5 linked regions of the Macaca fascicularis genome follow. The protein of the gene in region 4 interacts with the protein of the main gene of each other region in a pairwise test. Links are inferred from orthologs where the notes say so. Each region holds a gene or a part of one and is shown on either strand. Other genes may lie near its edges.

Region 1 (6,003 bases), on a different chromosome or scaffold from region 4:
CCGCATGTTCTTTTCCCCAAAACTAGTGCGCTCTAGCCTGCGCCTTTCCTCGGAACCTAAGGCGAGGGTATATTTCGTTGCTTTCTTTAAACCTCAGCACGATCACAGTGGCTCCGAGCCGCGGGTGGCTGACCGCGGGCCTCGTGGGCTACTCCTGGTAGGGGCCTGCGCGAGCCTAAGGTGTGTGCCCGCCTGGGTTAGCGCTGCGCTCTGCGCTGTTTCTTTTCCTCTTAAAGCTTCTTTCTCACTCACTCTCTCCCTCCTTCTCTCTCTAATTTTTTCCCATTTCTCTCGTTCTTTATTCAGCTTTCTCTCCCTTTTGTGAATGGGCCGCGGTGTCTTTGTTCTGGAGAGAAGCGCCCGTGTCGCTGACTTTTGTGAACCAGAGAAGGATCTTGTAAAACCTCCTTTTCTCCTTCGTACGCCCCAACTCCCACCCCTCCTCCCCTGCCCCTTTGATTAGATGTTCCCTCATCGTCCAAAAAAAAAAAAAAAAAAAATGTAATTTCGTTGGTCTGGCGGCCACTTTCTTTGAACATTAGCTCGCTTTCAGCTCCAACTTCAATTAGAAGGAGTTGATTTTGAGAGATCAACAAAAGAACCGACCAAAGCCTTATTAAAGGTCCTAAGAAGATCTCCCGGGTCCTTTGAGAAGCAGTTAAGGAAACAGTGTGCCCTCCATCATATTCTGTTACCGTATTTTATTCGGACTCCAAAGGAAAGTGTCGCTTGGGGGAGGGGGAAGCACTTTGATGAGCGGCGGCCGCGGCCCCTTTTCACTCAGCGGGCTCCCCCTTCCTTCTCCTCCTCCTCACCCAGCGCCCTGTCTGCTCTCCGCGCCCGACCCCGCAGCCTGGGCAGCACGGGTGCTCCCCACTGCGATGCGCCTGGAGGCTCCTTGACTCGCCCTCACACTTACTCCTGTGCAAACTTTTTACCCCGCCTGTCGGGGTGGGGGAGTGGGGAGATTAGAAACAAGGGGTAGAAATTCCTCGAAAGGGAATAAAGTGCCTAATTTTCAGAAGGAGGTGCCATTTAAAAGATTCTCCTAGCTCAGAGTTGGAACGAAAACTCTTTTTTGCACTTTTAAAAGTCCACCCAGGCAGACGTGTTTGGGAAGTTTGTTCCACTGGGAAATGGGCTTCGCCCGTACGAACAATCCGGGGAAATCGCCTCAAGGAGGCTCCTTACGCAGCATGTGGAAAAAAGTTGAGGGCAGGGGTCTGTGGCCACATTTTCCATCAAAAAGTCCCTGTTAGAGGCAGACTAGGAAAGAGAGAGAAAGAATGAAAAAGAAACTTTCCTATCAAAATGTTTGAATTAAGAAGTAGGGTGTACATGTGAGGGCAAGAGGACGCTGGGCTCCAACGTTTCAGAAGAAGCGCTTAAGGCTTGCAAACACCCTTGGTGGGGACCGGGAACCCCGGGAGATGCCGATGAGCAGGTAAGTGGCTGTGCCCTCCCAGTGGGTGCTCTTCCCAGGCGCGAGAGTCCCGAGGCGCCGAGGAGAGATCTGCACGCCCGGAGCTGCTCCCGCGCTCTGCAAAGTAGCCTGCGCCGGCACGAGCCGCCCGCGGCGTCGGTCTCAGGTGGCGGTGCAGAGGAAGAAAACGCTGGGGCCCGCGGCGCCAGGAGAGGGGCCGAGGCCCGGGCTCCTCCAGCCCGCCGCCCCCGGGTCCTGGCGCCCACACCCGGGCGGCTGAGCCCGGTGGCGCGCAGGAGAGCGAAGGAACCGGTTCTCCAGCACCTCTCCTCGTCTCTGCCACTCCCTCCGGAGCGCCGAGAGCGCGAGAGAAGGGCGGGGGCGCCCAGGGAAGGCCTGGAGACCCGCGGCCCCCTCCGCGGCCAGGACTCGGGCTCTCCGCTCGCCTTCCTCGCCTAGCTCTGAGCCGCTTTTGCCAGCCGAGTCCCGGAGTTAGCGCGCGACCGGGGCGGGGCGGGCGGGAGGGGAGGGCGGGGTGTGGGGGGCGGGGGAGGGCGGGGGCGCGCGGAGGTAACCCCCGGCTCGCGCTGCCATTGCCCGGCTCCCTGTCACTCAGCCCGCGCGGGGCCCCCGATTGGCGGCCTAGCCCCGTTACGCACTCGCCTCGCGTTCACATACCCGGGGAGGGCAGTAGAAAGGTGATCAATCTTCATCAGGCTACATTTCCAATCACCTAAACAACCGAGCAAGACAAGCCACTCCGACAAGGTAAATCGCTTGATTTATTTAGTTTGCAAAGTGACTCTGCAGGACTTCCCAGTCCCCACTGCCTCCACGTTGCACCGGGAGTGCCGCGGTAACGCCGAGCCACCTCCCAACTCTGCCCTCGAATTCCCCCCCTTGCGGCCCCTCGGCGCGATTCCGGGCGAGGCAATGTCCTGCCTGAGAACGTGTGGGGCTTAGCAAACAAAGTGTCTGTGCAATAAAGTGAAACCCAGAGGGACACGCACAAAGCCACTGAAAAAAAAAGATAGAGGTGGGAGGAAGGAAGTTGGGAAAAGAAAGAAACCCGGGGTCCTAGACCAGCCGCCGGGGTAATTCCTGTGCCGCTCTGTTTTGCAGGTTGGCTGCCCGGCGGGTCTCTGTGAGAGATCCAGGTAGATGGTGAACGTCCCCGGCAGCTGAGGGCAGGTAAGGAGAAAGCCGCGGGACCATCCCGGACTCCGGGAGCGCGTTGGTTACCCTTACCTCCCCCTCCTCAAATGGATCCCCACTTCCCCGGTCACCAGCAGGTGGGCGGGGCTGGGGGAGCGGCCTAGCTCCCCTCTTGGTGAGCCGAGGACCCCGGGGCGCTGTCGCGGCCCGCCGCTCCCTCCCCCGCCTCCTCCGAAGTAACCAAGCTGAAGTGCTAAGTTTGGAGAAAGTCTTTGAAAACTCACGCTGCAGCTTCGCAAAGCCGTCGCAGCTTTGAGTCCCATTTTTCTTCGGCCCTAGAGCCCTGGCTGCTTCTCTTCTCGTCCCCTTCCTACAAGCTGGACTCCCTCAGCCCAGGTCTTGGATCCCAGAAGACCGGGGTGGGAACGGGGCAGGGGGGAGCTTCTTTAGCTCTAACTTCTCTCCCTGAACGTCCTAGCCCGAGTCCCTGGCCTGCTTCACAGCGATCCCGCTAAGCGGGGTGTAGCAATGGCCCCCCAGAGCCCCAGGCCCAGTTTCCAGCGCCCCTCCCTGACCCCTGAGAGTGCCGCCCCGGGTTCCCGGCAGCGGCGGGGGCGAGGCTTCCACCTCCCAGCTCGGGTCTGCGTGGGCTATGCCGCTGAGGCCTACTTCTCTGTTCTCGACCGTGTCCTGGGGCCGCGGGTTCAGCTACAAGGATGACAGCACGGGACTTGCTGCCCTCCGGCTTTGCAAATCCCCGAGACCCTTTGAGGTGCTAGGTCAGTCACCCTTCACCCCCTGCTGGGACCCTGTGGTCCGCAGCACAGACTGGACAGAGAAGGCCGGGTGCGCGCTGGCAACGAAGGACGCTGGCCGCAGCTGAGACGCTCCCGACCTCAGGCCGCGTCTTGGGGTCGCCCCCCTCTACAGTGGCCTCTTCGGCGTCCCCTGGCCCTCTGCGAGGCCTGGGCCGGTTACTGCGGTTGAGGTGTGGTGGGATTTCGCGTCAGCGATCTTTCAGTGGCTGGGCACAGAGAGGTCAGCTGGAATGGTGATTGCGGGCTCTGGGGCAGGGGCGCAGCCCTGGAGACCTTTGAAGGAACCAAGTGTCCTAAGTGGACAAGAGGTTGAGGTGCGGTTAGCCCTCCACATTGCCTCACCTTGGCCCTTTGTAGTCTCTACCTTTTCAAAAACACGTGAAACAAAATGAAACAACCCCTCATGCTCCGGGAGGCCTGCCGTCCGGGCACCAAGTGAACGTTTGCTTGTGCAACATGAAGCTGGCTTCTGCCGGATTCAGAATTTTGCCTGGACTTGGGAGCTTGCACACTCCGCGGTTCTTGCTCTGACCTCCCCAGCCTGGCCTGGCTTTGACTTCTCCTTACTCCTATGGACTCCCTACCAGTGTCTTTGGCTCATTCCAACGCTGGAGCCAGACGACCCAGAAAACTTTACTTTTCAAAGCAACTGTGGTTTCTGGGCTAAGGCCTTGTGGATTCCAGTTGACCACCCTGCGCAGTTCTGTAACCTGCCTTCCCTGTCTATCCCGGGGCAAGACTTGGCAGCCAAGTGGCTCCGATTGATGGTTTCCGTGTGTCTCGTGTCTTCATAGGCCAGGCCCCCAGACGCATCAGACCCTGAAGGACTGCGGTGGGAGCCCTGCACCGCTTCTGGCCCCAGGTCCCCTGGATCCGTCGGGGCGCCTCCACCCAGCTGTTAGCATGATGTCTTACCTCAAACAACCCCCATACGGCATGAACGGGCTGGGCCTGGCTGGGCCCGCCATGGACCTCCTGCACCCATCCGTGGGCTATCCGGGTGAGCACCAGCCCTCCCGACCCTGCTTCAGCCTCTCCAATGTTGGGGCCCCCCAGACTGTTGGGTTTGAGTGCAAGCTTTGTTGCCGAGCAGGCCCAGGGAGTCAGCTATTGCAATACAGGGCCCACTGCCTGTTTACAATACAGGGCCCACTGCTGGCGCACGGGGCAGAGTCGTGGGCATGTGAGGTGGCCAGGGCTGAGAAAACGCGCAATGTGCGCCTTCCTGGCCGGGTCACCGGCAACCTTTCTCCTGTTGTGGTCCCACCACCAGCGCAGAGCTCATTTACCTGCGGATTCGCTACCCAGGGGCGGCTAGTGTTTTTCCTTTTCCCCCAACATGGAATGAGTAATCTGGACACTCGTTAGGCCCTGACAGAAAGAGCCAAACTTTCCTTATGCGAAGCGGCAGGCTGGACTGAAGGAGTATTCTTCCTTCCTAATTAAATTGTCCTCTAAATTGATGTCCTGCATCCGTTTTTGCACTGCTGTAGAGGACGACCTGAGCCAAACCCGGGGTTCTTTAGCTCCGGCTCCTTTACCCCATTTATTTTCTCCGAAAGTGTTTTTCAGGTCGTGTTTCTGCCTACCTCTTCCCCACTCCCTGTCCCCTAGCCAGAGAGAGAGAGAGAGAGAGAGAGAGAGAGAGAGATTGTGTGTGTGTGTGTGTGTGTGTGTGTGTGTGTGCGCGCGCGCGCGCGCGCGCAGGGGAGGGGGAATGTGGAAGAAGGGAGATTGTAGACTTCTCTTACTTTTTTTTAACCTCTGAGAGGCATAGAGAGGGGCAGCCCTTGAATCTTGGAGACACTGGCTTCTAGTCGCACATCTGCACTTTCTCCCACCTGTGGCCTCTCAGGCTCGGCCGCCCGAGGGAGTGTCTTTTATTCCCAGTTCGGCTTTCTCTTGCGAAGGCCGAGCTCTGGGCCTGCCAGGGGCCTGCCCGAGTGCTCTATCGCTGGTCCGCGTGGCCACCAATGACCCGCGGCGCCCCCGCGTGTCCCCGCAGCCACTCCACGGAAGCAGCGGCGGGAGCGCACCACCTTCACGCGTTCACAGCTGGACGTGCTCGAGGCGCTCTTCGCCAAGACTCGCTACCCTGACATCTTCATGCGGGAGGAGGTGGCGCTCAAGATCAACCTGCCGGAGTCCAGAGTCCAGGTGCGCACTCCCCGGGCTCCAGGGTCTGGGTAGGGGAGCTGAGACTGCTCGGGGAAGGTCTGGGAAGGCTCTTGAGGAGTTCTTGAAGAGACCGTCCTCTGGGGATGGGCTTACAGACTGGGCAGCCCCTCTCGGACTCCCCCTAGCGCTGGACCCCAGCCAGGAAAGGGGGCAAAAGTTAAAGGAAATGGCTTAGAGCCCTGAATTCCGCCCTTAGCCCTAGAGCGCCTTTCGTATCGGTATCGAAAGTACTTTTCAGAATTGCGGGAGGACTAGGGAGGCTCCCGAATGTAAAGCGCCCTGCAGGCCTGACACTTGCCCCTGCTTCTTTGCCTGCCTCAGGACTTGGCAGTTTCCCTCAGAGGCCTGAATTCTGCCTCTGCCCTTGTCTTCCACCCCGGGAATCCTAGAAATGGAAGAGCGGAGATTGGCCGGAGCCTGGTGCTCTGC
Region 2 (6,148 bases), on a different chromosome or scaffold from region 4:
GTGGCACGATCTTGGCTCACTGCAACCTCCGCTTCCTGGGTTCAAGCACTTCTCTTGCCTCAACCTCCCGAGTAGCTGGGATTACAGGCACAGGTCACCACACCTGGATAATTTTTGTATTTTTAGTAGAGAGACAGGATTTCGCCACTTTGGTCAGACTGGTCTCAAACTCTTGACTTCAGGTGATCAGCCCTCCTCGGCCACCCAAAGAGCTGGTATTACAGACGTGAGCCACCATGCCCGGCCTAGTTCTGAAAGAAGAGGAGTGTCCCCAGAGAGCCTCCAGGTACTTCATTCTTCCCTTCCTCTTTTCCAGAGGCAACAAGGCTGTGACTATGGCCCTAGAGCTAGGCAAAACCCAGTTCACCAAATCCAGGCCTGAAGTCTCTCACTCCCAGACCAGGGGGCAGAGTTATTCTCCCTGTTTCCTCATCCCCTTGCCTTTTTCTTCGTCCTTTCCATCTGGGGCCAAGGAAACTGAGGGAAGATTGAAAACCCGCAAGACAACCCACTTGGTGTAGGCTTAAAAAGCTCACACCGTGGGTACAATAAACTAAAAAAGAAAGGTAATAAATTAAAATGAAAATTCATACTATGTCATATCCATCAAGATGGCTATTACCAAAACAAGAGAACAAACAGAAAATAGCAAATGTTGACAAGGATGTGGAGAAATTAGGACTTGTACCCTGTTGGTGGGAATGTAAAATAATGTAGTCACTATGAAAGATAGTATAGCAGTTCCTCAGAAAATTAAAAATAAAATTGCCTTACGATCCAGTGATCCCACTTCCAGATATCTATCCATAATAATTGAAATCTGGGATTCACAGAAGTATTTGTATACCCATGTTCATTGCAATACTATTTACTACAAGAAAAATGGTGAAAGCAACCTAAGTGCCCATCCATCCACTGATGAACAAATAAACAAAATATAGTATGTACCTGCAATGGAATATTAGTCAGCCTTGAAGAGGAAGGAGATTATGGCACATGCTACAACTTGGATAAACCTTGAGAACATTATGCTAAGTGGAGTAAGCCAGTCATAAAAGGACAAATACTGTTTTTCTACTTATATGAGCTACCTAGAATCATCAAATTGATAGAGACAGAAATGGTGGTTGCTAGGGGCTAGAAGGAGCAAGGAATGAGGAGTTATTATTTAATGGATGAAGATTTAATTCAGCAAGATGAGTTCTGTGGACAGATGGTGGTGCTGGTAGCAAAACAATGTGAATGTACTTAATGCCATTGAACTGAATGCTTAAATATGGTGAAGATGGTAAATTTCATGTTACATGTGTTTTATTATCACAATTTAAAATAGCAACAATAAAAACCTCATCTCAGCAAGTCAAGAAATAAAAGCAGGAATGACTCAGGACTCAGGCAGTGAGTACATGATGATCTTTATTGTCACGTGGCCTCCTCTCACCTCAGTTCCTACAGTTGAGCATCAGGACAGAACATGGTTCAAGTTACCAACCCACAAGCCTTGCTAAGCAGCAGCCAGCCCCAGGATAGACACTGAGATTTAGAGATTCTCTGACTCCACTCAGTTGGGAGTTTAGAACCTAGTTGGGCAGATAAGAAAGATATGCCTGCAAAGTGAAATAACAATTCAAGAGATATCACCAGGCAGTTACCAAGTAGTGCGGAGGATGCAGTGAAAGATGGGTTGGATTTCAGAAGCTGGGGAGGAGAAGAGAAGTGGTCCAGGAAGAGGGGGGAAGAGTGAGCAGAGGCTTGGAGGCAGGGTCATCTAAGGTATGGCCCAGGAAACACCCAAGCTGTGCCCGATGGCCAGACTGGTCTGGCTAGAGCTGAGGATGTGTACAGGCGAGGAGTGACACGTGAGGCTGGAGAGGCATCTGAAACCCAGGTGTGAATCTTTGGATGATAGACAAAGGAGTCTGGACATCACCTTTGTAATAGGGAGTCTCTGAATATCTCTGGAGAGATTCAAACAAGAGTGCACTGGAAATTGTGGAACAGGAGGAACAACATTTTCAGAGGCAGGAGACAGGGTTGTGTCAGTCACCTTTCCTTTAAAAATAAGCACTCTTTGCTTCCCCTTTCACTCCAGCATAGGCATTGCCTTGGTCTCCATGGCCATCCTGACCCCTCCTCTCTGGAAACACATCACCAGGCCCACAGCCAGCACCACTCTTTTGCCCCTGGTTATAACTGGATGGGCCACAGTAGGGAGCTTCGGTGTCTAGGCGGTGTGGACTAGACTCATGACAGCCTATGTCTCCTGAGTATGGAACTGGATTTAGGCCCCAGCACGGACTGGGGCTGCGCCAAGGCTGCCTGCAGGGCTCTGGGCTTGGGCAGGGGGCTGGCAGGGGAATTGGCTCTGGCCGTGGACGAGGCTCTGGGTGCTCACAGGGCTGCAGGTGTGGACGTGGCTCTGGAATCTCACACTGCGCTGGGCGAGGACGGGGAACTGGCCGCGGTGTTGGACGTGGTGCTGGAAGTGGTTCCGGATACAAACAAGGTTCTGAACGTTGTCGTGGTAGAGGACGCGGGCGTGGTTCTGGACTTATGCATGGTTCTGGGAGCAGACGTGGAAGTGGAGCAGGAGGTGGACATCGCTGCAGTGGTGACTCTGGACGCTGGTCAAGACGCCGTGGTGGACAGAAGCTTGGGAGCGGACGTGGCTCTACGTGTGGCCTCAGCTCGGGGCAGGAGGTGCCCCAGGAGGGCTGCGGGCCACAGCTCCGGGAGCGGCGTCTGATGGGAGGAATCTCAACAGGACACCTCTGTGGGGGAACCTGCCTGGGGCAGCACGGGGAGGAAATCTCGATTCGGCACTTGGGGCCACGTCTCTGAGAGCAACTTGAAATGGGTTGTCGAGGACAGCGACTGTTATAGATGGGTTCAGAACGGCGGGGTGGGGTGCAGTAGTTAGGAAAACCTTCAGAGGGTCTTAATGGCAGGTAGCTGCTGGAGCAGGGCTCAAAACGTCTTGGGGGGGAACAGCTGCGGGGAAAAAGCTGCAGCCGCCGAGGAGGAGGAAGGCATCGGCTGGTGCTCCGAGAGCGGTGCTGTTCAGTGAAGCTCCCATAGGAGCCCTGGGTCTGGCATTGGGGCACACAGGGGCTAAAAGAAGCCCGGGACCGATACTGAGGGACACAGCTGCTGTAGGAAGGCCTCGACTGGAACTGGGGGGTGTAGCTGTTGTAGGCAGCCCTTGACTGAAACTGGGGGCCACAACTGCTGTAGGAGCCTTGATACTGGCACTGGGTGGAGAACCTTCCCTGAGTCTGGCACACTGCAGGACGCCCTCTATACATCTGGACAGGCTGAGGAGCTGGACAGGGTACATAGTTCTGGACTGGGCATTCTACATAACAAGTTTCTGTATAACAAACTGGAGCACATTCTACGAAGCAAGTCTGAACAGGCTGTGAGGCTTCGCACTGCACGTAGGACACCTCAGATTGGCATGGAGCCTGGCTTTGAACAGAGGAAGTTTGAGATTGGGATGCAGCCTGGCCCTTCACCTGGGTGGTCTTAGACTGACATGGAGCCTGGCCTTTCACCTGGTTGGTCTTAGACTGGCACTTCACCTGTGTGGTCTGAGACTGGCATGGAGTCTGGTCTGTCACCTGGCAAACTTGAACTGGGCATGGTGCAGGGCACTCCACAATTTGCATCTCACAAGGGGCTTGAACCACCACTTGGCTCTGGGCAAAGGGGGAGTGAGAAGAGTAGAAGGAGGGACCCTTGACGCAGCACTGTTGGAGCGGCAGGCAGCACTGGATCTGCTGCTGGTCACACATGGTTCTGATGCAGCCAGTCGAGCGTGACCTGAGGGCAGAGAGACCAGGGTCAAGAAGATGAAAGTTGGAGAGGGAGGGCTGGGACCTAGAGGAAGACACCCTTCATTTTCCCTAGCTTTTCCTCCTCCACCCTCAACCTTCACCCAAGTGTCCTGACTTAGTTGGACCCAGGATTAATCTGTTAAACCTGCCCTGAGTCTGTCAAAGGGCTTGATTGTGCACATCCAGGGTTGCAGGTGTCCAGGATCTACCAATGCCCAGAACAAGAGGGCACTGATGACAAAAGGATTCTCTTTTTGTCTCCACACTTTCTCACATCCAATGTGGTCTGAGCAGCCCTACAGGAAGTAGAGATAAAACATGCTCCTAAGGCTGTAGCCCAAAGTGGAAACTCCACTCCCACAGGAGCTAGGATTTACTCATACATGTGCACTGGCAGTATACATACATGTGCAAATATGTAAAAATGTACATATGAGAATAAGCACTCGACACCATCTGCATTCACATAATGTCAAAGCATTCACTGGAAAGTGGGCAGCTCAAACCCAACATTAAATGTTTGTTTCTTTATATTCAATGTTTTTAGATAAATTCATTTAAACATGACACAATGTTCTGAAATAAAGTCATTTAAACATGACACAATGTTTTGTAATAAATTCATTTAAACATGACACGTGCAAAGCTTTCCCATGCAAAACACACCAGCCTTGGAAAGACTCTGACCACCATGGCAACTCGCCCAATCAGGTTGCTGTTGTTAATCACCTGAAGTGTGACAGCCTGCAGGCCTCAGAAATGTTTTTCCCCAGCTCCTCTTAGAGGCAAGGTGGAGTTACCCAAGATGGAGTAAGCCAGAAAGTCCAAGGTTCTTAATCAGAAGACGGACATTCTGCCATACTTAATCATCTATGCAACTGGGGCATTGCAGACCTGACTTGAGGGCTGCAGGCATATACCCTGACACCACGCTTAGCCGGGGAGAGCACAGGGCAGCCTCACTCCACTGCTTGTCCCAGATCCACATGTTTATGTGGATTTGCAGGCAGCCCACTGACCAGCAAAACAAGATCATTTGACAGCAGGCTCATCCAACAAAACGCCTTTCAATAAGCTCCTCAAATGCTCCTGATGAGGGTTCAAACCTTCCATTTTCAATTTATAGAGAATACCTACATATCTATTTCCCTGGGGAAGGTAACCCTTCCACACACAACTTTGCTCATAAGGTGTAAATTGCTAATGTGCCTTTTCCAGAAAGATTATGAGGGGAAATGGTACCTGAGGATAAGGTCAGGGTTATCAAAGGCAAACACACTGAAGTCACAGCCCTAGCTCATCTCATAAACTCCATAGCTATGCTTCTGTCTCCTAAAAGCTCACCAGACTTTTCTCCTCAGGTTGATGCACTCCTTGCCCTCCCCGGCTCCTAGCTTCTCCCTTCTTTGTGCCTCACTACTGTGAACCTGGGCTCCCTCGAACATCACACCCACCCCTATCCCAGGATCCAGTTCCTGGACTCACCCTCCTCACAGGCAAGCAGTCGCTCAGGCTGAGGCATCTGGGAAGAGGGCTGTCTTTATATAAAGGGTTCTGGGTCTGGCTTGGGCCATGAGACAGCTGGTTGGCATCTGCCTGGCGCATCACCCAGGCTGGCATTCCAGCAGCCGGTTCCCTCCCTGTGTACCTGCCCTTGCCGTCACCTACAGAGTATGGGAGTGTCTTGTCTTAGTGTTGAAGTCTCAGGACTATGAAGAGCAGATTCTTGTTTTCTTCCTCCTTCATTACCCTAACAGTTTCTTCTCCATCCCTAGAAGACCTGATGGTCAGGAGATGAGGAGTGGCAAAGGTATCTTCTCTCCTAAAAGATGATTGTATCTGCCAACTTCCACTTTGCTTCAGATTCTTACCAGAGTGATAAAAAAGAGGAAATGTTTTCTAACTTGAAGTAATTTAAGTTACTTCAAAGATAGAGGCAACTCTATAGAAGGATGAGCCCATGGGGTCAGAGGTGAGTCTAACATCCCAGGCCATGTAGTTATAGCTATGCAACCTTTATAACCAACCTGAGTATCAAATTACTCTTCTGCAAAACAGAGATAATTAAATCTTGTTTCTGATTGTTGTGAGGATTAAGGCAATTATTATATTTTTAAAAACCTATCCAAGAATGATGTTTAAAATATCCCAAATACACTCAGGGTAAATGCTGGCCATAAGCTACAGGCACTGCTGAGTCTTGGGTGTCTGCTCCCTCCCCATCCTGAGCTGAGCAAGTGGATGGCTGCACAGCAGGTGCTCAGCCATGCTGCAGAGCAGTATTTGAAGGCAGCACCAGGCAGGTAGTATAC
Region 3 (5,799 bases), on a different chromosome or scaffold from region 4:
AGGCTTGGGAGTGGCAATTCGAAGATTCAGTATAACAAAGTAAATTCAGTCAGTATCTAATTCAACCAGCATGGTGATCTCCTTCAGAGATACCTAGGAAAATGAAAAACTAAATTAAAGCAACAGGCCTGAGGCAGAGGGCACAGAGAAGGAGAAACAAAGCTGAACGTGTGGGGGAGGGTCAGAGAAAGGCCCTATCATCTGTGAAGGGACTGGAACAACAGGTAGGATTTCAACAGATGGAGAGCGAGGTGTAGTTAAGGCAGTCAATGAAGAGCCAACAGCTGGAGCAAAGGTGCAAAGGTACAAAGGTATGAGTAAGGAAGGATGGCTACCAGGGAATAAGTGAGCAGCCTAGTAGAGCTGCAGTAAAGGAAGGACGAGAGGAGGCAAAAACAGAATTACATGCTTGTTCTCTAAGAAGACACATGCATGTATGGAAAATTTGGAGGCGATTCTGTGGATAGACAGAAGCAGCATACTTCTTTTCCTCCCTCTAGAAAGAGATTCAAGCCATTAACTCACTTTTTTTCTTTCTTTTTTCTTTTTTTTTTTTTTTTTTTTGAGACAGAGCCTCACTCTGTCGCCGGGCTGTGCAGTGGCGCGATGTCGGCTCACTGCAACCTCCGCCTCCCGTGTTCAAGCAATTCTCCTACCTCAGCCTCCCCAGGAGCTGGGATAACAGATGCCCGCCACTACGCCCAGCAAATATTTTGTATTTGTAGTAGAGACGGGGTTTCACCATGTTGGTCAGGCTGGTCTCGAACTCCTGACCTCGTGATTTGCCTGGCTCGGCTTCCCAAAATGCTGGGATTACTGGCGTGAGCTACCACACCCCGCCATTAACTCGCTTTTTGAAACAGCTGTATTATTAGTATTCATCACCTCAACGTAAGTACATGCATGGCTTAATGAATGCCTGGTATTAATTATATAATTCACTCTCACAAACGAGATGAATAATTTATTCAATCATACTACAAATCTCACTACAGTGGGTTCTAAGATTCTCAACCCCTTAAATTGGAATTATATTGTGCTCAAAGTTGACTGCAACTACCAGCATCTGCCAGGAACCGCATGTTTCACCAATCAGATTCTTGGTGTCCTGGTCTTTGTTATACAGTATTTGATTTATAATCACTTTCTGCCCACTTTTAAAGTCCATTTAGTTCAGTAGTTAATCTTAAAGTCATTATACTATCATGGCTTCTTTTTCTATCTCTATCTCACTATGCAAACAGTTCGTGTCCTTAATTATAATAGCTTTTAATGTTTAAAGTTTAGAGTAATACCCGGTCGACAAATCCATAAAGTCATAAACATTTAACCCTGGAAAAACTGCATCAACACCCAATCCTTTTAAAACAGATGTTTAAGAAATGAACTGGCCAGTTTGTTACTTTAAAAATTCTAGGCAACTTTTCAACTCAAATTTGGGATAATTTAAATAAAAGAAACCTCTGATAAAATCAAAGTGTTACAGGGCAAACACAACAATAAAAACAAATCTTTGTTAAAATGCTTAAGGCAAATTAAAGCAACTAATCAATTAAAATAATGTATTTCACTTGGAAAAGAGACTACTTGGTCACTTTGCATTAATTTAAAAATAAGAGATACTAAGTCATTAGACTTAACACAAAAAGCACGTCTGAAATTGAACTAGGATACAACTCAGTGTAATTCAAAAATTTTCCTTAATAACATTTTAGCCTAATTCCACCTTGGAAATTAATCAGACTAATCTCTGGCCTACTAATGGTCCTTGGGGAGAAAATATTAAATACATTTTCCAAAAATATCCTCGCTGAAGCCAATGCACCTTATCTTTGTGATTAACGTACTATAAAAGTGGTGGTGTCTGGCCTGCTTCAAACTTGGCACCACAGTATCAAATATATAGTTTTGATATTTTGGTTTCATTTTGTCGACTGTTACAAAGGCTGCAGTCCTGGAGTTAACCTGGAGTTCAGAGATTTGGAGGGAGTACAAGAACCTGGGATAGTGTGCAAACTTGTGTGTACGTGCCTTTGGCGAGGAGGGGTGGGGCTTGGGTGGTGAGTGCTCGGCTATCTCCAGATTCTCAAAGAAGTCTATGGCTAAAAACGGTTTTTGGCCGGGTGCGGTGGCTCATGCCTGTAATCCCAGCATTTTGGGAGACCAAGGCAGGGGGATCATGAGGTCAAGAGATCGGGACCATCCCGGCCAAAATGGTGAAACACCGTCTCTACTAAAAATACAAAAATTAGCTGGGCGTGGTGGCGTGAGCCTGTAGTCCCAGCTACTCGGGAGGCTGAGGCAGGAGAATAGCTTGAACCTGGGAGGCCCTCGGAGGTGGCATTGAGCCGGGATCGCACCACTGCACTTCAGCCTGGCGACTCCGTCTCAAAAAAAAGGTTTTTAGGAAAACCAGCAAATCCCTGCATCAGTATTACACCCAGAGAAAGTCACGAAAGGCAAAAAGCGTGCATTTTATGCCACCCCCGTTAAACATTTAAAACGCATCCTCCTGACATTGAGAAACAGCCTCATGAGGAAAACACAAAAAACAAAAACGCATCCTCTTATCCAGTGACCTAGATCCTGACACTAGCTTTCCATTAGGAAGGCCTTCTGGAAAATAATTTGGTTCAGAATGGGGGGAATATGGGTTCAAGCGCGCCCCACCTCCCTACACAAACACCCTTCGACCGACCCGGTTATCGACCTTCCTCCGCGGTCGGGGCGGGCTCTCGCGTACCTGGGCGCGGGTTCGATGAGAGTGGTGGTGTCCAGGTAGTGGATCTTGTAAAACTCCAACAGGGCCGGCAAATGGTCAAACTCCTGGTCCCCGATCTTAAAACGGCGGTTGGGCAGCGAGTTGATGATGTAGTGGGAGACCCGCGAGTTCTCGGACACCGACAGCACATAGTCCCCAGGGCAGGTGGAAGAATCGCGGACGAGGAACATACCGTGGCGCTGGCCCTGGAGCCGGGTCTGCGCCTCCTGGCGAGACACCGGCCCCATGTACCAGGCGGAGCGGTCCGAGGAGTCGAACCTGGCAGAGGACATGGTGTCGGGCCGGGGACTCTGCGGCGGTAGGGGCGGCGGCTGTCCTCGCCTGCTCTGCACGCCTTAGCCCGGCAGACGGCTTTGGGGCCGAGGAAGGGCCTCTCGCACACCTCGAGGAGCGCTCAGAGGGCTGGGCCAGCACTTTCCTCTCGGCTCCAGGCCCGCAGCATCCTCCAACGTCGCCCGCCTGCTCCGGGGCCGCCTCACGGAGAGCCGCCCGGGAATGCAGGGCAGAGCCGGGGGGTCAGGGCACGCAAAGCCGAGCCGCAGCTGAGGCCACCCCGGGGTTCTCGGGCTGCTCGGCGTCCCAGGGGTGCCTCCAGTGACTCCCGGCCTGGAACGCGCCGGCGTCGCAGCTCCACGGGTCTTCACCGACCCCCGCCGTCACACGAGGCACCGAACTCGAAGGAGCGTCGCGCCTCCGGGGTGGTTTTGCCCAGCTCGTTCCCAATAGCTACAGCAACAAAATGGCGGACGCGGGAGAAGCGGCAGCCACCTCCCCCTGCGCTCAGCGCGCTCCGTCTGCGCACGCGCGGAGCCCCGGCTCCCGGCGGCCGCCGGGGCCCTTCCGTGGCGTCACACAATGCTGCCAATGAGGAGCACCGTCACGACGATCTGGGTGGGCGCTGGTCGCGCCCGCTCCCGCGTTCCGGGAGGAGGCTGAAGAGGCGCCGGCGGTAGGCACTCTCTTCCTGGGCCGCTGCGCGCCGCTGGGGGCGCTGCGGCTGCCGGGTCTCCCAGCGCTGGCAGGAAAACAGCTGGAGCCGAGAGGGAGCGGCGTGTCGAAAACCTGCTTCTGGGAACAAAGCGTAACGTGCAGGCCGAATCGCGGGCCAGGGAGGCGTGGCACTGAGGCGACCTGGCCAGCCTAGGGGCCTGAGGGAGCTCAAGAAGTGACAGGTCACGATGGGCCGAGGTGGCCCAGTAAAGGGATGACCCCAGGGGCAGATGTGACTACCAGATAGGTGACTGAATGACTCAGTCCCCAGGTGGCTTGATAGGCTAAGGAAGCCCTAGTGGCTACGTGACCCGCTAAATGGAGAGAGAGGAGAGAGAAGGTGGGGGTTAGATTGACTCAATTAAGTAGTCAAGGCAGGCCACAATTGGGTAACCTGGCCATCCAGGGCTTTGAACTGTTGAAGGTAAAATGCAAACGCCTCTCGGGCGTGGCCCGGAGGCTTCGCCTGCCCTGGATTATGCCTGCTTCTCCCTATTTATTAATCCCTATTTGTTTTTGTTGTTTTCTATTTTTATTTATTTATTTATTTATTTATTTATTTTGAGACGGAGTCTCGCTCTATCCACAGGTTGGAGTGCAGGGGCGCGATCTCGGCTCACTGCAACCTCCGCCTGCCGGGTTCAGGCGATTCTCCTGCCTCAGCCTCCCGAGTAGCTGGGATTACAGCCATCCGCAGCCATGCCCTGCTAATTTTTGTATTTTTAGTAGAGACGGGGTTTCACCATGTTGGCCAGGCTGGTCTCAAACTCCTGACCTCAGGTGATCTGCTTGCCTCAGCTTCCCAAAGTGCTAGGATTACAGGCGTGAGCCACCGTGCCCGGCCTGTTTGTTTTATTTTGTTTTTGAGACAGGTTCTCCTTCTGTCACCCAGGTTGGAGTGCAGTGGAACTATCATGGCTCACTGCAGCCTTGATTTCTGCATCTCAAGGGATCCTCCCACCTCAGCCTTCCGAGTAGCTGGGACTACAGGCTCACGCTGCCATGCCCAGTTAATTTTTTTTTATTTTTAATAGAGACGAAATCTCACTATGTTGCCCAGGCTCGTCTCAGACTCCTGAGCTCAAACAATCCTCCCCCTCAGCCAAGATGTGAGGCGCCCGGCCCAGCTATGTATGAAATAAGCTAATATATGCAAAGTGCTTAGAATAGTACCTGGCACATAAGCATCATATGAGTCTTCCATTATTATTATTCACTCGTTCCCTGGGCCTGTACCTTTATAGCCTAAAACCCTGAGCATACCCTCGGTGGGTGAGGGAGGAGAGAAAAATCTCCACTTCGTTTTCTAACTGCTTTTCACTGTCAGATTTACCATTTAATAATCACCTGCTCCTTGCCCAGCGTTTTTTCTGTTTTTTTGTTTTGTTTTGTGACCGACTCTCGCTCTGTAGCCCAGGCTGGAGGAGTGTAGTGGCGCAATCTCGGCTCAGTGCAACCTCTGCCTCCTGGGTCCAGGTTCAAGCAATTCTCCTGCCTCAGCCTGCCGGGTAGGTGGGATTACAGGCACGCACTACCATGCGCAGCTAATTTTTATATTTTTGGTAGAGACAGGGTTTCACCATGTTGACCAGGCTGGTCTTGAACTCCTGATGTCATTATCCACCCACCTCAGCCTCCCAAAGTGCTGGGATTACAGGCGTGAGCCACTACCTGTAATCCCAGTGGTGACTTAAAATTATTTAATTTTTTGTAGAGATGAGGTCTCACTGTATTGCCCAGGCTAGTCTGGAACTGCTGGGCTCAAGTGATCCTCCCAGCTTGGCTTCCCAAAGTGTTGGGATTACAGGCGAGAGCCACTCGCCCAGCTACTCAACCAAATCTGACTTCCACCCATGCTTTGACTGAATTAGGCTTTTTGGGGTTTGTATTTATTTATTTATTTATTGAGACGGAGTCTCGCTCTGTTGCCCAGGCTGAAGTGCAGTGGCGCGATCTCAGCTCACTGCAAGCTCCGCCTCCCGGGTTCACGCCATTCTCCTGCCTCAGCCTCCGGAGTAGCTGGGACT
Region 4 (5,362 bases):
GGACAGCAGCCGGGCCACAAGCAGGGTAGGAGTGCCCACCAGCTGGGCAAAAGAGGGGCAGGGGTGGAGGTGTGGGCAGTGGGGGAGGGGACCTGGAATCAGGCCAGGCCCTCTTCCCAATTTCAGCTTCCTCAGCCTTCTCTCCTGGCCCAGCATCCCCTCCGGAGTGGCCAGGGCTGTAGTGTGAGGGGATGTTTGGGTTAGAGTGGGTACCGCTGTCTGTTTTGGCTCCTCTCACCTTCCCTGCTCTAGCCTGCGTCAACCCTGGGGGTCCTGGCCCCCCAAACCTAAGCCCCAGGTACCTCACTGTAGGACTTTGCCACGCACTATCCAGGTATCCTAGAGCAGACTCAGAGATCATCAGGCCCCTTCCCGGGCCCGGGGAAGTTTGAGGAAAATGGGGTGGCAGGGCAGAAAAGGAGAGAGGAGAGGGAGTCAGGAGTGCTTTCGAACTGGAGGTTTGCTTTCCACTGACAGCATCCATATCTGCTGCTAATGCCTGCATGCTCCCAAGTGTCCTAGTGGGTCCCACAAAGTTGGTCCAGCCCAGAAGTGTTGCAGGGACAGTCAAAAAACCAGAGATGCTGCCCACATCCCCATCACTCCCTTTCCCAACTTCCCAGCCTTGCCCCAAAAGCAGCAGCTCAGGACAACCTGAGAGACTACTGTGATGGGTCCCCAGGATGAGGACAGCAGGAGTCTGAACTCCAGAGGAGGGGGAATATGGGTAAAACAGAGAGGTGGCAAGGAGACAAGCTGTCCCCAGACAGAGGATAGGAGGAGTGAACCCACAGTGGGAGGGGAAGGGACTGAGATAGGCCTGGGCCATAAGGGGGCATCCCAGGCTCCTGCTTCACTGCACCTCTGGATCAGGAGGGGCTGAACAGAGAATCTGGTCCACTCCTTCCTCATTCAGTGTGTGAATGAATCCCAAGTGCCAGGGGGCAGGGGGTCGGGGGAGAGCTCACAGCATCCAAAACCAGCTAAACATCTCTCCCAGTGACAGGCCTCTGTTTCCCTCCAGCATGACCACCCCCCTTATCCAATTGCTGTCTGCTGCCTCAATGCACAATGAGTAAACATGTTGTTCTGACCATGGGGGAGGAGGGCATGTCAGCTGTCTGGAGCGTGGGGACAGCAGGAGCTAAAGGAGCAGGACTGGCTGAGGCCACTCCTGCTGGCTCAGTCTGGTGCTGCAGGACTGACATACAACAGGTATGTCTGGAACCTCCCTGCTCACTCTGCACACAGGTCTCTATGAAGGGAGGACAAGACGGGAAGAGTCAGGGAGTACCCCTACTGCACCAGGGGGAAAGCCTGAGCATGTGGGCTTTCCACAAGGGCATCACATACCAGGGCCACGTGAGGGGCCCAAGTGATCCCCTGGGGAGGAGCTGACCCAGCAAAGGTGACGCAAGGGGTCAGATTCCATACACAGCTGAGGACAGGCCCAATGACCGCCCTGAAGCAGCTGTGGCCAAGTGCGTCCTACAAGTTTGAGGGCTTGATCTGGATGGAGGAAACCAGTGCAGTGCTAAGGCAAGGCTCCTGCCCAGTCCCAGAGATGGAGATGGGCCCACTGGGAACTCACACCTCTGTTTGTCCTTCCACCCTCAGCCTAGGAAAGCTGAGCCTCATAGTTTCCGGGAGAAGGTTTTCCGGAAGAAACCTCCAGTCTGTGCAGTATGTAAGGTGACCATCGATGGGACAGGCGTTTCGTGCAGAGGTGAGGTGCTCTGTCCTGTGACTCTGAGACCCTCCACCCAGTACCACTGTGTTGCACAACTCCAGCAGGCCAACTCACACAATCTCAAATGTAATATGCTGCTCCTGGATTAGGCACAATGGCACCTAAGAGGCGGCTGCCTCCCCCTTCAGATGGCCCTGGCTCCCCATGACAGACACCCCCGACAACCCAGGAGACCCAGTATTCTCCACCATCTTCCCATCCTGACTTGTGACTGTAGTCTTCCTTCCCTCCCTTCCTCCTCACCTCCACCCACCCTGGAACGTTACCCCTGGCCTACGCAATAGTACCCCACTGCCACACTCTTCCCTCAAAACCTAGCCCTGCTCCTCCGCCCTAGCCAGCCCAGTCCAGCTGGGATCCTGGAAGTCCCAGGATCTGGTTCCAGGGTCTGGGAGATGAGGGAAGGCCATTCCTTCCACTGTCCCACAGGCCCCTGCTAACCCCTCTCCTCCCCCTACCTCCCCTAGTCTGCAAGGTGGCGACGCACAGAAAATGTGAAGCAAAGGTGGGTATCTGATTCTACCTGATAGGGGGAGAGGGTCTGGAGTCCCTTCCTCCTCCCAAACAGGCTTCTCCAACCACACTGGCATCAACCCTCCACCTCCACCCCTCTCACCATTGGGGAACCCCTCCTGGGTGGGAGGGGTGCTGACTGGGCCCTTTAAGAACCACCCTACTCCGCCTTCTGGAGGGCTGGCCGGCCCAGGCGGGTGGACAGCGAGACAGCGTTTGTCTTGGTGCTGTGCCCAGGCTGCAGCTGGCGAGAGGATGGGGGTGGGGAAGAGGAGGAGAATGAGGAGGAGGAAGGGTGGGGTGGGTGGGGGGTGGGGGAGCAGGATTTCAGAGACTGGGCAGCCGGATGGGCTGTGCCTTCCCTCTGGGGAAGGGTCCTCAAAATGCCTGGGCGGGCCTTGTCCTGGGCCCTGGAAAAACTGGGCCTTTCCAGAAATAAGCTGTAGATAGCACCCACTGTCCACTGGGCACCCAAGACAGCCCTATCTCTGAGGAGGTTCCCTGGTCTTCCTGCAGGGCAGGGAAGGAGGGTCCCAGGGCCCTGGAGCTGGCTTGGGGGAGCTGTGTGCCCAGGGGCGGGGTCTCCCGGTGAAAGAGGCCAGTGTCCGTCCCTGGCCATGGCCTGCCTGCGTGCTCTATATATAACTCCTGCCCTGCAGCTGGATGAATGGGGGTCTGTGTGGGCTGGGGGCTGAGCGCCAAGAGCAACAAGTGGGGGGCCTGGGGGGTGGGGGACCAAGAGGCCAGAGGGGAGGTGCCCTTAAATAGCACAACCTCAGCTGGAGCCTGTGCCCATCCGCTGAAGGCCCCTCCACCTTCCTCCTGAAGCTGAGGGGCTACCCCATCCTCAAGCCCAGGAGAGCCCTTCACCAGGAGCTCAGTTCCTTACTCGGTCCCCTTCCAGGTGACTTCAGCCTGTCAGGCCTTGCCTCCCGCGGAGTTGGTGAGTGCGCTCTGGGATGGGGTGGGGAAGGCAAGGAACCTGGCCATGGTGTCCAGAGGTCTGGTGGCTCCAGAGAGGGCCCCCAGGAGATGACCTTGAATGTAGTGCTGTGGGTATTGCTCATCCTACAAGGAAAGAAAAAACTGTCTAAGTCCTCTGCTGATCTTGTGCCCTTGGGCCTGCTGGGGATAGAACTCCTCTCCCTTTGTCCAGTACAGCCTTCATCAGGACACTGACATTCCCTTCCACTGTTCCCAGGCCCACAGTGGTCCTTGCCCCTGCTGTAACCACTCCCTTTTCCTCCCCCATCTCCCTCTAGCGGCGAAACACGGCCCCAGTCAGGCGCATAGAGCACCTGGTAAGGTGATGCTGGAGGAGGAGGGGGAAGCAGGTAGCTTTGGGAGTAAGGATCTAGATTTCCTGAAGACAAAAGTGGCTCTGGAGTGGGCAGTCTAGAGTAGGGGGCACCCAAAGAGATGTCCAGACACTGTCTGTTATCCACCAGGGATCCACCAAATCTCTGAACCACTCAAAGCAGCGAAGCACTCTGCCCAGGTAAGTGAGGGTGCTGGGGTGGTCCCACGTGACCCCCTTTCCACCGGCCCCACACCTCAGCCCAGGGCGCTGCCCCTCAACAAAGCTCCCCGGGACAGCCCCCCACCCCCAAAGCGGTATTCTCCCTCCGGACCGACCCACCCACCCTCAGGACCCACCAGGCTTCACCTGCTGCCCAACAGACAGCCTTCCCATCACACTAGCCACCTCCGGGTGCCCTGCCCCTGCGTTCATGCGTAGGCTCCCCCTCCCCAGGAGCTTCAGCCTGGATCCGCTCATGGAGCGGCGCTGGGACTTAGACCTCACCTACGTGACGGAGCGCATCTTGGCCGCCGCCTTCCCCGCGCGGCCCGATGAACAGCGGCACCGGGGCCACCTGCGCGAGCTGGCCCACGTGCTGCAATCCAAGCACCGGGACAAGTACCTGGTGAGGGGCGGGGCCATCAGGAGTCAGCCAATGAGAGGGGCGTGGGGTCCAGATGGGCGAGGCTAATCACTGACGTCACCAGTGGAGGCGAGGCCGCCAGTGGGCGGGACCAGAGGAGTGGGGGTGGGGTGGGGTGGGGGCGGGGGCGGGGGCGGGGGTGGGGTGGGGGCGGGGGTGGGGTGGGGGCGGGGGCGGGGGTGGGGTGGGGGCGAGGGTGGGGCGGGGGCGGGGCCCGCAGTGGCGCCTGGAGCGGAGCGGAGTATCCAGGAGCGCTGGCGACTTGGCTGTGACTGGCTAGGCCGGGCCTTAACTACCTTCTTATTTTCTTTCTTTCTTTACTTTTTTTTTTTTTTTTGGTGACGGGTCTCTCTTTGTTGCCCAGGAGGTGATCCGCCCGCCTCGGTCTTCCAAAGTGCTGGGGTTACAGGCGTGAGCCACTGCGCCAGGCCTGCACTTTGTTTTAGAGGAAGATTCTTTTTTTTTCTTTTTTTTTTTTTTTTTTTTTTTTTTTTTGGTGTTGTTTTGAGGCAGAGTCTGCACTCTGTTGCCCAGGCTGGAGTGCAGTGGCGCGATCTCGGCTCACTGCAAGCTCCACCTCCCGGGTTTGCGCCATTCTCCTGCCTCAGCCTCCCGAGTAGCTGGGACTGCAGGCACCCGCCACTGCGCCCGGCTAATTTTTTGTATTTTAGTAGAGACGGGGTTTCACCGTGTTAGCCAGGATGGTCTCGATCTCCTGACCTCGTGATCCGCCCGCCTCGGCCTCCCAAAGTGCAGGGATTACAGGCGTGAGCCACCGCGCCCGGCCTAGAGGAAGATTCTTAACTTAGGATCCACCTCCACCTCGTGCCTCATTGCCGGAGGTCCCTTCTGTCTAAAGCCCTCCCCCTTTATTTCAGCTCTTCAACCTTTCAGAGAAAAGGCATGACCTGACCCGCTTAAACCCCAAGGTATGAAGGAAATGGCTTGCCCAGTCATTAAACCAAGCCACCCCTACCCCAGAAGCCCCCAGCTTCCTCGTTATTAATAGTAGCGATTGGCATCTACTTCACTCTTAAGCACCTTCCCCCTCTCGCATGACATATTACTGGAGACACCCCAAAACGTGATGCAGCAGGTATCAGCCCATTGTATAGATAAGGAAAGTGCTGAGGTTATCATGGAGAACCAGCAGATC
Region 5 (5,815 bases), on a different chromosome or scaffold from region 4:
TCCCCTCCTGCCCTAATGGACATCCTTCCGTGCCTGCAGATGTCGCCCTCCCCACTTCCCCATCTCAAGCCCTAGCCGCCAACTCACCTGAATGTCCCGGTCCTGTTTCATATCTTCTGGTGGATCCTGGGTGGAGATAGCAGGGGCAGAAACTGGGATGGGGCTCAGGCCTCTTTTCCACCTGTTTGCTGTGTTGGGAGGGCCCCGGCCGCAAGGAGAATAGGGTGCCCCTAGCTCGCCAGGAGCTCACAGAGCACTGCCCACATATTGAGAGCCAGGTGTGTGGCCTCAGTTGTCCTCATAGCAGCCCTGAGAGGTGGGCACACCTGTTACCTTATTGCTCAGATGGGGAAACTGAGGCTTAGGGGAGGGCTTGCCTGTGAGGCCAGCCTGACCCCCGTACTCACTTCCTGCCTGCAAATGCCACATGCTTGTTGGTGTTGTGACAATATCGCCCCTTTGAGGCCACGTTGTGCTTGGCTAAGTGGTGGGGATCTGGACTGAGAGATGTGGGTTCGAATCCCAGCTCTATCACTTCCAGCTGTGGGGACTTGGACAAGCCACTCCCTGCCTCCTGGGTTCCCACTGACAGGCATGTTAGAGCCCAGACTCTGACTCCAGGTGGCCAGGGTTCAAATCGCAGCTGCCACCTGCTTGCTTCGTGAACCTAGCAAGTGACTTCATCCTCAGTTTGTCTGTGAAATGGGGATAAATAACAGGACCTGTCTCCTGGGGTCACTGTGGCGATGAAATAAATCAATTCCTGGAGTCTTGCCATATGGGAAATACTAAATGAATGCTACCCTCTGCTATTGTTATTATTATATTTTTGAGATGGAGTTTCACTCTTGTCGCCCAGGCTGGAGTGCAATGGCGTGATCTCGGCTGACTGCAACCTCCACCTCCCAGGTTCAAGTGATTCTTCTGCCTCAGCCTCCCAAGTAGCTGGGATTACAAGCATGCACCACCACGCCCAGTTAATTTTTTGTATTTTTAGTAGAGACGGGGTTTCACTATGTTGGCCAGGCTAATCTCGAGCTCCTGACCTCAAGTGATCTGCCCGCCTCAACCTCCCAAAATGCTGGGATTACAGGCGTGAGCCACCGCACCCGGCCCCTCTGCTATCATTTTTATCATACTTTTATATGTATAAATGTAGACTATGATACATATTTTACTATCCTCTGGGTTTTTTTGTTTTTTGTTTTGTTTTTGAGACGGAGTCTTGCTCTGTTGCCCAGGCTGGAGTGCAGTGGCGCGATCTTGGCTCACTGCAAGCTCTGCCTCCCGGGTTTACGCCATTCTCCTGCCTCAGCCTCCTGAGTAGCTGGGACTACAGGCGCCTGCCACTACGCCTGGCTAATTGTTGTTGTTGTTGTTGTTTTGTATTTTTAGTAGAGATGGGGTTTCACCATGTTAGCCAGGATGGTCTTAATCTCCTGACCTCGTGATCTGCCCGCTTTGGCCTCCCAAAGTGCTGGGATTACAGGCGTGAGCCACCGCGCCTGGCCTTTTTTTTTTTTTTGAGACAGAGTTTCGCTCTTGTTGCCCAGGCTGGAGTGCAATGGCGTGATCTTGGCTCACTGCAACCTCTGCCTTCCAGGTTCAAGCGATTCTCCTGCCTCGGCCTCCCGAGTAGCTGGGATTACAGGCATGCGCCACCATGCCCAGCTAATTTTGTATTTTTTAGTAGAGACAGGTTTCTCCATGTTGGTCAGGCTGGTCTCGAACTCCCGACCTCAGGTGATCCGCCCGCCTCAGCCTCCCAAAGTGTTGGGATCGCAGGCGTGAGCCATGGCGCCAGGCCTATTATACTGTAACAGCCCTACACTGAGCCTTTCAGGCAGGCGAAATCCACAGTGTTCCCATCACCAAAGCTTTCGAAGAAGCAAAGTAGCCATGATGCACCTGTGCTTCAAAGCCATTCATTCATTCATTCATTCATTCATTCATTCATTCATTCATTCAACACAAAGGTTCCCTTCCCCTCCCTCTCTCTCCTCCCCAATCCCCTGCTCATCCCAGCCTTTCTAGAGACTGACACTAACAACCCTTCCCCACCTCCCAGCCTTTGCTCATGCCATTCCCTCCCACACCCTAAGGCCCCTGCCTTTCTTTCCCTTTCCCCTCCCAGGGCTCACTCCTCTCCATCCTTTAAGACTTGGTACCTCCTCCTCCAGGAAGTCTTCTCTGATCTCTGCCCCCCCACGATGGCCATAATCCTGACTCCTTTCATTGCCTAGTTTCATGGCTGTCCGCCTTTGAATACAATCAGCGCATAATGAGCGCCTACTGTTTGCAGGCTCCCTGGCCGGACAAACGATAGAGAGGTGAAAAAGTGATATTGGGTGATGAGTTACAGACCGACAATGCCTGGTCCCTCCTGTTTCAGAGAAGTGTCAGTCACCATGAACCGGTCGGGTCCCCCCTCTTGCTGTCCCTCCCGTGACCCGGTCCTTTGCGAGGGGAGGGGACAGGTTACCTGGGCATCCAGATCGTTACTTAGTTCTTGGCCATCTTTTTGCTTTACCCCTGCGGGGGAGAGTGCGTATAAGAGAAGGGCCCTTGAAGGGTCTGTGGGAGTTCCAGGCCACCCAGAGCCGCGATGCAGAGCCTCCCCGAGGCTGGGACCTCCGGGGGAGGTGATCTCAACGCCTCTCCCTAGACCACGCCCCCTCGGCGCTCCCACGCGCGGTCTCCGCACCAGGCCCGGGACCCCAGCAGCCTCACCGTACACGATGGAGCGCCCAACTCCTGTGTGGTCGCTGCCGAATTTCCTCATCAGAGCCCCCGCCTTCTTGGAGGATACCTTCCCATGAAACTTCTCCCGGAGGCGCCGGACGCTCTTCTCCAGCTGGGATGGGGACAGGGGGGTTCCGGTGGGCGAAGGGGAAGCGCGATCGTCCCTCCCCCATCTCTAGGCACCGTTCTCCCGGCCTGAACTTGACCCTTGGTTTTGGCCTCCGCCGCCCCCCCTTTCATCCCTCTACGGCATTTCCTGGAAAAAGCCAAAGTCCCCACATGGCGCTGGGGGAGGGCGCGGACTGAGGCGAGCGTCCCAGCCTAAGGTGGGGGGGCGGCCAGGTTATCTCTGGCCTCTGACCTTTGACCCTGCAGCCCCCGCTTTTCCTCGGAGAGGCCTCATTTCGCTCTGGGGAAACGTGGGAGTCACTTTCCTTTTCAAGGGGGGTGAGCGCCAGGCAGGGGTAAAGATCTGGGGTTCTAGGATGGGGGTCCCCAGGAACTGCGAAGCCCCCTCCGCGCCTCTCGGCCGCTCCTCGGAGTCTGTCGCGTCTGCCCCCGGCCCAGCCGTAGCCATCTCTTACCTCCACACCTTCCTGAGACATGGTGGCGGCGGCGCAGGTCCCCGCGAGGGTCCGCACTGCGCGGTTCAGCCGCCCCCCTACCTGGGCGCGCCCGTCGGTCCAGCAGCCGCGCAGGGCAGGGGGCGGTGCCTCGGGGCCGGCTCCGCCCTTCCTCCCCAGCCCCTGTTTCGCTTTCGATTCAGGGGGGACCGGGCGCGCTGGCTCCGCCCTGGCTCCGCCTCTGCTCTTGCGCCCCAAACCCAGGCGGTCGCCCCGGGTCTGCACCCTGCGGCGGAGCGCGCAGACCTCGGGCGGGGGAGGCGGCGCGGCCTCTGCAGTCGGTCACATGTCCCCACGCTGCGCGGGGTCCGCGTCTTCACGTCCCTCGTGGGGGCGGGGCCGCATCGGAAGGCCGCGGCGAGGCCCCGCGCCCCCCCACCCAGCGCGCGCTCCCCCAGTTCATCACCCTCCTCTCTGTCCTCCCTCCTTCCCCGGGAATCTGGCGCTCATGAGGACCTGGGCGCTTTTCCTGCCCTGAGTCTCTGTCCTAGCTAGGGTCACCTCTCTGAACCTCAGTTTACCCCTCTGTGAAATGGGGAGGATCCTGGTGTCTACACCATGGAGTGGAGTATATGCCAAGATTCCCGAGTGGATCGCGTAATAGCGCCTGGCTTGCAGTAGGCACTCAACTAGTCACTGGGCCACCTGCTGTGTGCCCTTGATAGGGGCAGGCAGTGTGTGTGTGGTTGTGGGGAGCGGTGCTTGAGAAAAACACAGATTCTTGGTCTCTCGTTGCCCGGTAGAATCCGGCTGTCTCAGGGATCCAGGGAATCTGCAATGGTTAAGAACCCCGTGGGCTGGACAGTTCTAACCCAGTACAGGGCGCATCAGGGAGCCGTTAGGTGGTGGGGCTCTGGCCCAGCCTGGGGACACAGAGATGGCTACTTCATTGGAGGAGGGGATGCTTTGTACAGTCACTGAAATTGGAGGTCTTAGCTCGGGGACGAATAGAGTGGGGAGTTGAGGCAGCCGTGCAGAGCCCCCAAAACAAGACTAAGTCTGGGGCTTTCGGGCAAGGGCTTCTCAAGCCCAGCACTCTTGACACTTTGGGCTGCCTGGTTCTTTGTGTGGGGGACTGTTCTGTGTGTTGGGGGACATTTAACAGCATCCCTGGCCACTGCCTGCTAGATGCCAGTGGCTCCTCACTCTCCCTGTTGTGACTACAAAAAATGTCTCCAGAGACTGCCAGATACTCTCTGAGGGGCAAAATAGCATTGTGTTCAACGACTCTAAATTTTTTTCTCCATTGCACACCTCTATAGGTAAAACTGTTAAAATTACACCCCCAGATGGATATTTATTTATTTATTTATCTTTTGAGACAAGGTTTTGCTCTGTTGCCCAGGCTGGAATGCAGTGGTTTGAATACGGCTCACTGCAGCCTCGAACTCCTGGACTCAAACAATCCTCCTACCTCAGCCTCCTAAGTATCTGGGATTACTGGCATATGCCACTATGCCTGGTTAATTTTCAATTTTTTTTTTTTTTTTTTTTTTTTTTTTTTTTTTGTAGAGACGGGGTCTCACTATGTTGCACAGGCTGGTCTCAAACTCCTGGCCTCAAAGATGGATTTTTTAAAAAAATTTATTTATTTGTATTTATTTATTTATTTATTTTTTGAGAAGAGTCTCCCCCTGTGGCCCAGGAATGCAGTGGTGCCATCTCGTCTCACTACAACCTCTGCCTCCCAGGTTCAATCGATTCTGCTGCCCCAGCCTCCCAAGTAGCTGGGATTACAGGTGCACGCCACTACGCCTAGCTAACTTTTGTATTTTAGGTAGAGACGGGGTTTCACTATGTTGGTCAGGCTGGTCTCGAACTCTTGACCTTGTGATCCGCCCGCCTCTGCCTCCCAAAGTGCTGGGATTACAGGTGTGAGCCACTGAGCCCAGCCAGGATATTATTTAAATTATATACAAATACAATTATATCAATATATTCTGTAAATTGTTACATAACAGTATCTTTATTACAGAAATATATATTCTTTTTTTTTTTTTTTTTTTGAGACGGAGTCTCACATTGTTGCCTGGCTGGAGTGCAATGGTATGATCTTGGCTCACTGCAACCTCTGCCTCCCAGGTTCAAGTGATTCTCCTGCCTTTGCCTCCCAAGTAGCTGGGATTACAGGTGCCCGCCACCATCACTGACTAATTTTTTGTATTTTTAGTAGACACGGTGTTTCACTATGTTGGCCACTACATGTGGTCTGGAACCCGTGACCTCATGATCCTCCCGCTTTGGCCTTCCAAAGTGCTGGGATTACAGGCATGAGCCACTGTACCCAGCCAAAATATATGTTCTTTAGGAAACAAAAAATTGTAATCTCAGCTACTTGTGAGGCTGAGGCAGGAGAATTGCTTGAACCTGGGAGATGGAAGTTGCAGTGAGCCAAAATCATGCCATTGCCCTCCAGCCTGGGCAACAAGAGCGAAACTCTGTCTCAAAAA

Evidence for each region.
Region 1: the proteins of TNS2 (region 4) and OTX1 interact in binary tests that used the Homo sapiens proteins (3 or more experiments, as listed by UniProt). The two-hybrid records come from large-scale screens. The link is inferred for Macaca fascicularis from reciprocal best matches to the Homo sapiens genes TNS2 and OTX1.
Region 2: the proteins of TNS2 (region 4) and KPRP interact in binary tests that used the Homo sapiens proteins (3 or more experiments, as listed by UniProt). The two-hybrid records come from large-scale screens. The link is inferred for Macaca fascicularis from reciprocal best matches to the Homo sapiens genes TNS2 and KPRP.
Region 3: the proteins of TNS2 (region 4) and CRKL interact in a two-hybrid assay, tested with the Homo sapiens proteins (2 studies listed by BioGRID and IntAct). The link is inferred for Macaca fascicularis from reciprocal best matches to the Homo sapiens genes TNS2 and CRKL.
Region 5: the proteins of TNS2 (region 4) and SHFL interact in binary tests that used the Homo sapiens proteins (3 or more experiments, as listed by UniProt). The link is inferred for Macaca fascicularis from reciprocal best matches to the Homo sapiens genes TNS2 and SHFL.

The regions. Positions count from the first base shown.
Region 1 is NC_088387.1:58,900,038-58,906,040, reverse strand, and holds the start of OTX1 (homeobox protein OTX1), read left to right. Parts: upstream 1-2,123; 5' UTR 2,124-2,191; intron 2,192-2,545; 5' UTR 2,546-2,614; intron 2,615-4,190; 5' UTR 4,191-4,299; coding exon 4,300-4,396; intron 4,397-5,401; coding exon 5,402-5,553; intron 5,554-6,003. UniProt on the Homo sapiens protein: Probably plays a role in the development of the brain and the sense organs. Can bind to the BCD target sequence (BTS): 5'-TCTAATCCC-3'.
Region 2 is NC_088375.1:108,420,248-108,426,395, forward strand, and holds KPRP (keratinocyte proline-rich protein), read right to left. Parts: upstream 3,824-6,148; 5' UTR 3,795-3,823; coding exon 2,055-3,794; 3' UTR 1,399-2,054; downstream 1-1,398.
Region 3 is NC_088384.1:31,890,712-31,896,510, reverse strand, and holds the start of CRKL (crk-like protein), read right to left. Parts: upstream 3,581-5,799; 5' UTR 3,055-3,580; coding exon 2,744-3,054; intron 1-2,743. UniProt on the Homo sapiens protein: May mediate the transduction of intracellular signals.
Region 4 is NC_088385.1:59,842,221-59,847,582, forward strand, and holds part of TNS2 (tensin-2), read left to right. Parts: coding exon of another isoform or gene 1-25; intron 26-1,184; exon of another isoform or gene 1,185-1,215; intron 1,216-1,617; coding exon 1,618-1,726; intron 1,727-2,217; coding exon 2,218-2,255; intron 2,256-3,152; exon of another isoform or gene 3,153-3,167; coding exon 3,168-3,206; exon of another isoform or gene 3,207-3,331; intron 3,332-3,525; coding exon 3,526-3,564; intron 3,565-3,711; coding exon 3,712-3,761; intron 3,762-4,016; coding exon 4,017-4,188; intron 4,189-5,084; coding exon 5,085-5,135; intron 5,136-5,362. UniProt on the Homo sapiens protein: Tyrosine-protein phosphatase which regulates cell motility, proliferation and muscle-response to insulin. Phosphatase activity is mediated by binding to phosphatidylinositol-3,4,5-triphosphate (PtdIns(3,4,5)P3) via the SH2 domain.
Region 5 is NC_088393.1:10,630,594-10,636,408, reverse strand, and holds the start of SHFL (shiftless antiviral inhibitor of ribosomal frameshifting protein), read right to left. Parts: upstream 3,459-5,815; 5' UTR 3,348-3,458; coding exon 3,327-3,347; intron 2,855-3,326; coding exon 2,731-2,854; intron 2,533-2,730; coding exon 2,483-2,532; intron 2,308-2,482; coding exon of another isoform or gene 2,169-2,307; intron 127-2,168; coding exon 88-126; intron 1-87.